Linked DNA regions of Xenopus tropicalis. The protein of the gene in region 2 purifies or fractionates together with the protein of the main gene of each other region. This does not show direct contact. Links are inferred from orthologs where the notes say so. Each region holds a gene or a part of one and is shown on either strand. Other genes may lie near its edges.

Evidence for each region.
Region 1: the proteins of sbf1 (region 2) and mtmr1 purify together in Homo sapiens (affinity purification with mass spectrometry; 4 studies listed by BioGRID and IntAct, with this or other methods). This does not show direct contact. The link is inferred for Xenopus tropicalis from reciprocal best matches to the Homo sapiens genes SBF1 and MTMR1.

Annotation. Positions count from the first base shown.
Region 1 is NC_030684.2:58,028,643-58,033,052, reverse strand, and holds the start of mtmr1 (myotubularin-related protein 1), read right to left. Parts: upstream 2,994-4,410; 5' UTR 2,667-2,993; coding exon 2,521-2,666; intron 1-2,520. UniProt on the Homo sapiens protein: Lipid phosphatase that specifically dephosphorylates the D-3 position of phosphatidylinositol 3-phosphate, generating phosphatidylinositol. Could also dephosphorylate phosphatidylinositol 3,5-bisphosphate to produce phosphatidylinositol 5-phosphate.
Region 2 is NC_030679.2:89,287,662-89,291,478, forward strand, and holds part of sbf1 (myotubularin-related protein 5), read right to left. Parts: intron 3,219-3,817; coding exon 3,113-3,218; intron 2,939-3,112; coding exon 2,806-2,938; intron 2,683-2,805; coding exon 2,574-2,682; intron 1,870-2,573; coding exon 1,756-1,869; intron 1,496-1,755; coding exon 1,418-1,495; intron 611-1,417; coding exon 497-610; intron 315-496; coding exon 186-314; intron 1-185. UniProt on the Homo sapiens protein: Acts as an adapter for the phosphatase MTMR2 to regulate MTMR2 catalytic activity and subcellular location. Promotes the exchange of GDP to GTP, converting inactive GDP-bound Rab proteins into their active GTP-bound form.

The DNA.
Region 1 (4,410 bases), on a different chromosome or scaffold from region 2:
TGTCAGGAATAAATCGAAGCATGAGGGAAAAATCCTTAGCTCTGCCCTTTGTAAACCATTCAATCCTCCACCCAGTGACTAGGGGCTCAGACAAGAAGAGTGGGTAAGAAATGACCCATTACAGGTTGCCAAACATATAGGATAAATAGTTTCAGTCAAATTTTAGATCCTATCGGATTATTAAAGCTGCAAACCCTCAGTTCCCTTTAAATCTACACAAGAGGCAGTAAGCATACAATCTGTTCTCCCAAACCACTTTATCTGTCCCACACAGTTCAATGCAGCACATTCCTCCCTTACAGAGATCATGCATCATTCCCATCAGCCCCTGCCCCCAGTGGATCTTCCAGTCTAAGGTTCCTATAACATCCACACAGAATGGGCAATTTTATCAGGAGCCAATAAACTTCCATGTATGCTTTTGGAAACCCACATAGGCAAGGGGAGAACATACAAACCCCTTGCAGATAGTACCCAAGCTGAAATCCAACTTAGGACCCCAGTGCTGCAAGGCACAAGTGCTACCCCCACCGAGCCACCGTGCTGCCCAGTAGCACAATGTAGCCGATGCCAGCTGGTCAGAACCAGAATGGAAAGACATAGCCAAATAATGTTTTAAGTTGCAACAGTATTTTCAAGTAACATTAAAAACATTACAAATGCATAATACACAATTTCATTATGCAAATCCCAGAAAGTAACAACTCTTTTCATAGGCTGACAAATTCAAACACTGTGTGCAAAAAAAAAAAAAACTCTCTCTATGTTACCATTTAGATAAGATTGAAAAAAGACACACATCCACCAAAATTATATAAACTTCCCACATATCTGGCTCTGCACAATAAATATTAACCCGATTTCTAACTTTTACATAATTTTGTCAGTGAGACTGACTTTAACAAACTACAACTTTTCTTTCAACTTGTGTTTATTTAACCTCTGCTGCAATAATGACAATATGATGGGACCTACCTGTAATATTATTCCAGGATTTCCCCAGTTTGGACAAGCTTAGCATTAGCAAAATGATTATATAGGGATGGCAAGTGTGTTGAGTTAACAAGTACCATGCACTGTATACCAGCTGTCAACCTACATAATTTTACTTTCCCCTTAACATTTCCACCTTACACTAATTGATTCCTGCTCATTTTGTCATTCTGCATTTATGTGCTAGTTTATACTGAAAACTACAAAAAAATCCCTTGCATAAACTACCCCTGAAATAATGTAAACTAAAGCTTGGTATACACAGAGAATTCTGATGTAAGACATTGGTGGCTGTCGGTAGACCTACAGAGAGAGATAAAAACACTACCAGGCTACCCAAAGAATCTTGTGGATTGTGTTAGTTTTATTTCTATGTGTTCACAAGGAGAAACCTGCAAATTTAGCAAAGGTTTGTACAAATAGTATTCAAACAATACTGAGAACAAATCATAGGGGATAAAGCTAGACTACACAGAAAGATCTGCTCATTTATCAAGGTTGGTCATGTGTTGGCTCAAATCAGGCTGATTCAATCATTTGGATCCTGGACAAACAATGGTATCATGACAGGAGAATATAAAGATCATTTGAGGAGGAGTGCATTAACACACAATCCCGGTATCTGTCAGGCAGGCTATACACATTGCCACCATACATTAGGCAATATGCTGCCAACTCTGAATTGAGTCAGTGTATTGCCACTAAGTGATATGTAAACAAGAATTATCTGTAAAGTCTGTATAACTGGTAGGATAATAGTGCAACCCAAAGCAGGCCCCTTGTAGTCTATAGAAGCACACACCCCCTTATAGAGAAGAAAAGCTGTATGGATGCTACTCTTGGAGCAGCTGAATGCACATTCCTAAACTGGGCAGAGCAGTTACAGGCATACACCCCCCATCAGGGTAGAATGGTGCACCCAAAAGCCCACCATCCTCAGGGCAGAGTGGCCCAAAGCACACCCTCCTTCAGGGCAATGTAAAGTACAATGTACATCTTTACTAGGGGCAGTACAACAGTGGCCAAACAGACCAAAGCATAGCCATCTATTTGCCAATGAAGCTCAAAGCACAAATCATACCCTGGTAAGGGTAATCATTGTCTAAAACGATGTATCACTCACACAGACATTCAGCACAGATTCACAGTAGACAGCGCATCCCATTATTATAAACATGCCAACATAACAGTATGGCCGTGAGAGCAGCACAGGCAAGGCTTGAGGGTGACACAGTTTCACTTGTTAAGCTTTTGGGGAACCAAGTAGCACCTATTTCACAGAATGAATAGGGAGAAGCCTCACATCCCTCCCCTCAGCAGTAACCCCTACAGCCATATGCAGGTCTGTGCTGCCTACCGTGGCACTGCCACAATGAAGCTTTAGAGCTGCGCAGTTACATCCTGCATTGCATTATTTACCCAATTTCATTCCCCTCTTTTGTTGATTAATAACTGCTTTCCCATGATGCTCAGCCATGCAAGCCTAACTCCTCAGCCTGGGAGTGGCATTTTTGCCCTGTACTGTACCTGTCCAAAGTCTCGACGCTAGGCTGGCGGGAGCTGGGCAGCGAGGGGGGCGCGGACGGCCGGGGAGGCTTTCTGGCAGCAGGCGCCGCACCCGCAGCGCTTACACCCCCTCCAGGCACAGCCTCCAAACCCGACAGCTTGTCCATGGGCTCTTCCTTTCCACCCCTCCCTCCTCTCCGGATACTTGTACGGCCGCTGACCCCCCCTTAGCCTGCTTATCGCACAGGAAAAGCCGGATTTCAGGCCGCTCTTCCTGCCGGCTTCCTGCACAGGGGAGGGAGACCCAGTGACTCACACAGCCGCCATGTCTTTGGACTGTCAATCGGCCCTGAGCCCATCATGCACCGCGGCGGCACAGAAAGCTGCTGTGTCCCACAATGCACTACGGCTGCTACTAGACATCGCTGAGGGGAGGATGGTTATTTGTGTGTCTCAGTTGCGCAAAGTTTATATTGCGGTTTTTTTGGGAAAACGATTTAGGGAAGTGGCGGCAGTGGTGGGTGTAATAACAAATGACCATTGCTTTATAGTTACCGTCTTGTCTGCGTCTTGCCTGATTATTGCTTTCCTTCCTGCTGAGGATGACTTTGAAGATAATAAAATGATGTAGACACACGTGACACGTAGTTACTAATAGCTGTTCTGGGGAATGGGTGCGTCACCATAGCGGGTTTAGTCACTGAGGTTGGCTTCCTCTTATATTATCTGCTTTACTCTTATTGTAACTACTAGGGGCACCGACTGCTCCATATTACCCAGTTTCCTAAATGGAAATCCGCTTATCTCTCCAATGTGATTGGTGAAAATGTGGAACCCTGAGACGTCACTTTAAAAAAATATATATATTCGTTTTGAAAGGTGGATAATATTTTATATGAATGTAACCCTTTCTTGGCACATTCACTTAATATTGGGCTGTATTTACAGGAGTTGTGTGTTCTCAGTGAAATATAGATACTGGGAACAGCGCAGTGCCTCCACCTAGTGGACACTGAGGAACACACCTCTAGGGGATTTCCACCTGGAAATAATCACACACGGTTTGCAGCAATATCGAACTTTATATAACTTTTGAAATAGAAAATAGAACAGCTTTAGGGATGATTGATAATCCTGCCCTGAGGAACTTGTGTGGGCTATCCACTGCAGGCACAGTCTCTGTACTTGCCCAGCCCCAACTTGGATAGACCCCCAAACCCTTTAAATCAGTTCAGTCCCTTCCCCAAGAGCTCTTTAGCCCCCCCCAGGTAGCGCTACCTGCCCCAGAGTACCTTCCCCGTTGAAAAGGGTGGCTGCTCCCACGTAGCAGGCGAACGGGCAATACCTGTTCATTCCAGGGGACACACACACAGAGAGTTCCACAGAGGACTTTATACTCCCTAGCAGTCCAGCAGACTTTTATTCTTTCAAGTCTGAACACACCACACTTTGTACTGGCTGCTCACTCTGGATCTCTCTCTGTGCACTGGCAAACAGCAGGGGCTCCCTTTATAAACTGCTGGCCCCCCCCCTAGATTTTTGGCTCCAAAGCTTAGGCACACCTCTCCCAGACGTGCACTGGGGCATCCAAGCCAATCAGATCCCTCCCCAGTCTCTAGGCTGGATGAGATCACAGACTGAGAAACAGGGGACAGGGTTCTCTGATCCCCTACATGAAGATAAAGCAAATTTCAGAGTTTATGTAGGAGATGTTTAGGCATAGAACGTGATATGGGCCTGGCAATGGTGCAATGTGGTAATACTTATATTAGCTGTGTCTAGCACTTACCAGCCTCAGTCCCATCATGCTGCTTGTCCTTGGCTGCCTAGCACCCACCTTTGGACTGGGATTCAAAATAGGCCCTGGCATTTCAAGTAGACAGAGGCCCAAACAGCCTACACTACCCACTA
Region 2 (3,817 bases):
GAGACCTACATTTTTAGGGTTCCATGACGTTTTAATTGTTGCTTTTTCCCTGAGAAAATAACAGCAATAAAAGGATGCCGTGTGCCATTACAGATATATATCATATTATATATCAAAATAGCTTTTGAAATGAAAATGGCTTTTTAAAATTGTGTTTACATACATACAACTCTAAAAGCATGTACCTCATCAAACAGGTCAAGTGCTCGGTATGGTGCACCACGTTCTGTGACAAACCCCGCAAAAGCCATTCCTTCTAAGACTTTAGTCAGGAAATCGTCCTCCACCAAGCCACGTTGACCAAGAAAAGATGCCTATTTACAAATAAAAGTAGGAAAAGCAGTGAAGGTACCCATAGAAAATGAAAAAAAAACTCAAGAAGCACTCATAATGACTGTGACAGGCACTTGTGATATGATGTAGATGAAAGAGGAAAAACAGAGAGAAAGGTGACTAGATAAATAACATAAGGAAGATGACACAAAGTTAGATTTACCTTATGAAAACGAATGACAGGCTCAGGATGAATTCGTATTAGTTGCAGACAACAACGATATCCCTGAAAGATTTGTGCAAAAAGACGCAGAAACGAAGCACGTATTTCCATATCCTGTAATAGAGTATTATAACAGCCTGAATAAACATTAACCTTAGTACAAAATTACAATCAAAGCATAGAGCCAGAAATTGTGATATGGACACATATAACAATTAATGAAGGGATGAATCAATTTCCTTGACAAAAATGTTTTGTCAGCATTAATGATGGAAATAAATAATTTTGGTTTAAAGAATAATGGAAAAAATGTTTACTACTTAAATCCATCAAACATATGCTAGTATGAGGACATTTATTTTATGTTGCAAATTTCTAAATTAAAATGAAACTTTTAAAGGAGAAGGAAAGGTTAAGTCACTTGGGGGTGCCAAAATGTTAGGCACCCCCAAGTGACTTAAATCGCATACTTTTTACCCCGGGCTGGTGCCCCTGTTCAGAGATAACAGCACCAGCCCGGGGTAGCTGCGAGCACTTCCTCTTCCGTATTTGCCTCACACGCATGCGCAGTAGAGTGAAAAAGCTGAACTTAAACATAGAAGTTGGCTTTTCACTCTACTGCGCATGCGCCGGCCCACGGATTTTGCCGGTAGCGCGAAGACGAAAGGAGGAAGGCTCGTTGCAGGTGCCCCGGGCTGGTGCTGTTTTCTCCTAACAGGGGCACCAGCCCGGGGTACAAGGTAAGCGGTTAAAGTCACTTGGAGGTGCCTAACATTTTGGCACCCCCAAGTGACTTAGCCTTTCCTTCTCCTTTAACATTTTATATTTTACATTTACACACACCATGATATGTCTATCATTTTGACAAAATTAGTGTTACCCAGCTTAGTGTTAGATATTAAATTGCCTGCAAAGGGTTACCTGCATTCTGAGAGTAGATGCAGTAATGGAGGATGGTGGAAATGCCAGATCTGCAATCACTAATGAGGGATCTAGAACCTAATAACAGAAAAATATATTAAAAGTAAATGAGTTGGAGAAATGAAAACAAGTAAAAATGCAAAGACTGAGAATAAATATAAGAAAGAAAGAAAAGTTAATAAGAAAAGAGAACTAGATACTAAGGTAAAATGGAAGAAGTGGCTGCAGGTACAAAAAAGGCATGTACAAAGAAGATACCAATATGTATGTATAAGTCATCAGGTGGCAAACAATGTACTGACAGGAAATATATACTGAACATAAAGGGTCAAACTTACTTGCGAAATTGCTTCTTGTGTGTGATGCAGCAATGGCTCAGGCAGAAAAGGGATCTGAACACACTCTGGGACTGTAACAGTGCCGCCATCCAAATCTGCAATAACCACATCAAGCTGGAGAGATAAATTGAAATCACAGAGTTAAACACATTTACAGAGTATGGATTACCTTTTTCGTAAATGAATAGAGAAAGGCAAAACTGAACAAAGTCACAAGAAAAATGTCAAGCTAACCTTAGGACACACCTACAGCAATTCAGTAAAACTGGAAACTTAACAGAGAAGATATCATCAAGGGAGAACCTATACTTACAAAAGGGGCCTTTGTAAAGTCTTACAGTAACAAATAGCTGCTAGCGAATATAATAATCTCTGCTGCTGGTCTGGGAGAGGCACAACACAGGGGTGAGATGGTCTTACAAATGTACAAAAAAAATTAATTGTATCCCAGGCAAGAAGCAAAGCACAGAATATACAGAAAGTAAAAAATTCACTGTAATGGTTTTGTGACAATAGGCAACGACCCTATTCCCAGGCATCAAAATGACAGAAAATATGGATCAGTAAAAAAAAAAAAAAAAAATTAAACTAAATCAAAGGGAAGGAAGGATGTGGCACATTTTATACTCAGAAAGTTCCTGGACAGAGAGATTAGCAAAATCTAGCGCATTTTATAAAACAGTAGGTCAATGCACAAAGAATTGCTTACATTTTAGAGATATTTTTGTTAACCCAGACAGTCCTAAGTTAGCTGCAACTAATGCTAGGAGGCAATAGTTCGGCTTTATACAGCACAAAAAAAGCAATATTTTCCTTACCAGCTCCTGAGTCTCTGCCCGAAACAAGGCATTAACACCAATGATAAAGGGCGTGGGGGTACTGAGAACCTCTAGTAGCTGTGCAGGGAGGATGGGTACATATGTGAAACTGCAAGAGGAACAGAACATTTGCTGAACACTATCAGAACAAATAAGTGAGCACAGTGCATGTGTTAAGTTAAAAACATTCATTTAGACTTAGTGTGAAATTGCCCTATAGGCATTGACTCACCTATATCTGAGAGGAAACATTATGGCTAAAAGGGCTCTGCAAGCTTCAGTGAGACGCTGGTAGCTCGTGGATAGGAAGAGTATTTTGTGCTCAGTAAGAGCTGCGCAAAACAGGCAAAGCACATTGGTAATACCTGGATATGCAAGCAAGAATAACCAAGAGTTAAACCTACAATATTGACTTTAATATAATACTGATTTGTTCAAGGTAGAGAAAATGCCATCAGTTTGTTAAGAAGTAATACTAATTTTGTTTGCAAAGGGTATAACTGGAAAGAAGAGAATAAACAGAATGTTTAATTCCTTACCAAGCTGCCGAAAAAGCAGGGCCACACTGCAATTGCTGATTGGCAGGGAGTCACATATTGGTGTCTGTATAACTTGTCGGTCTCCTGCTCCAAGAGAGATGGTCCTCTACACAAAATCAGTATGAATGCACCCAAGGGAGGAAAACAGAGATTGAAGTCCAAGTAAAAAGGAAAAGGTTTGCAGCAGAAAAGATCAGATACATACAAAATTATTACAAACTTTTAATTCAGGACAGGAAAATGAAGGCCTACAGTAGAGGGGTTAAAGGCCACCTATCAATGATTTTGCGTCTCCCACCAGAAGTGCGGGCAGCCATACTGCAGCACACACATGTGCATATCGAGCGAGTGCTGCAACTTGCTTCTCATGAGACACATCCACCGCTCCTATGTTGCATGCATGCGCATGATGAGTGAGCGAGGAGTTCATTATGCGCATGCATGCTAAATAACTTGGCCTTGTGCAGACGGGGCTGTCTTTTAGAAAAAAAACTATTGTTTCCCCAACCAGAGTGCAGGCTCTATTAACCCACACATTTGGTGGGGGAAGCAAAAACATTGCGATAGGTGCCCTTTAAAAAAGAACACTGACAGAACACAAGCAAAGTAAAGGTAAAGTGCATGGCCCAGAAAAGAGTAAACTTTAAAAGCGTAGTGCAGGTGCTGGTATCAAGGTAAAAGAACTGAAGGAGTAAATGTGAGGGA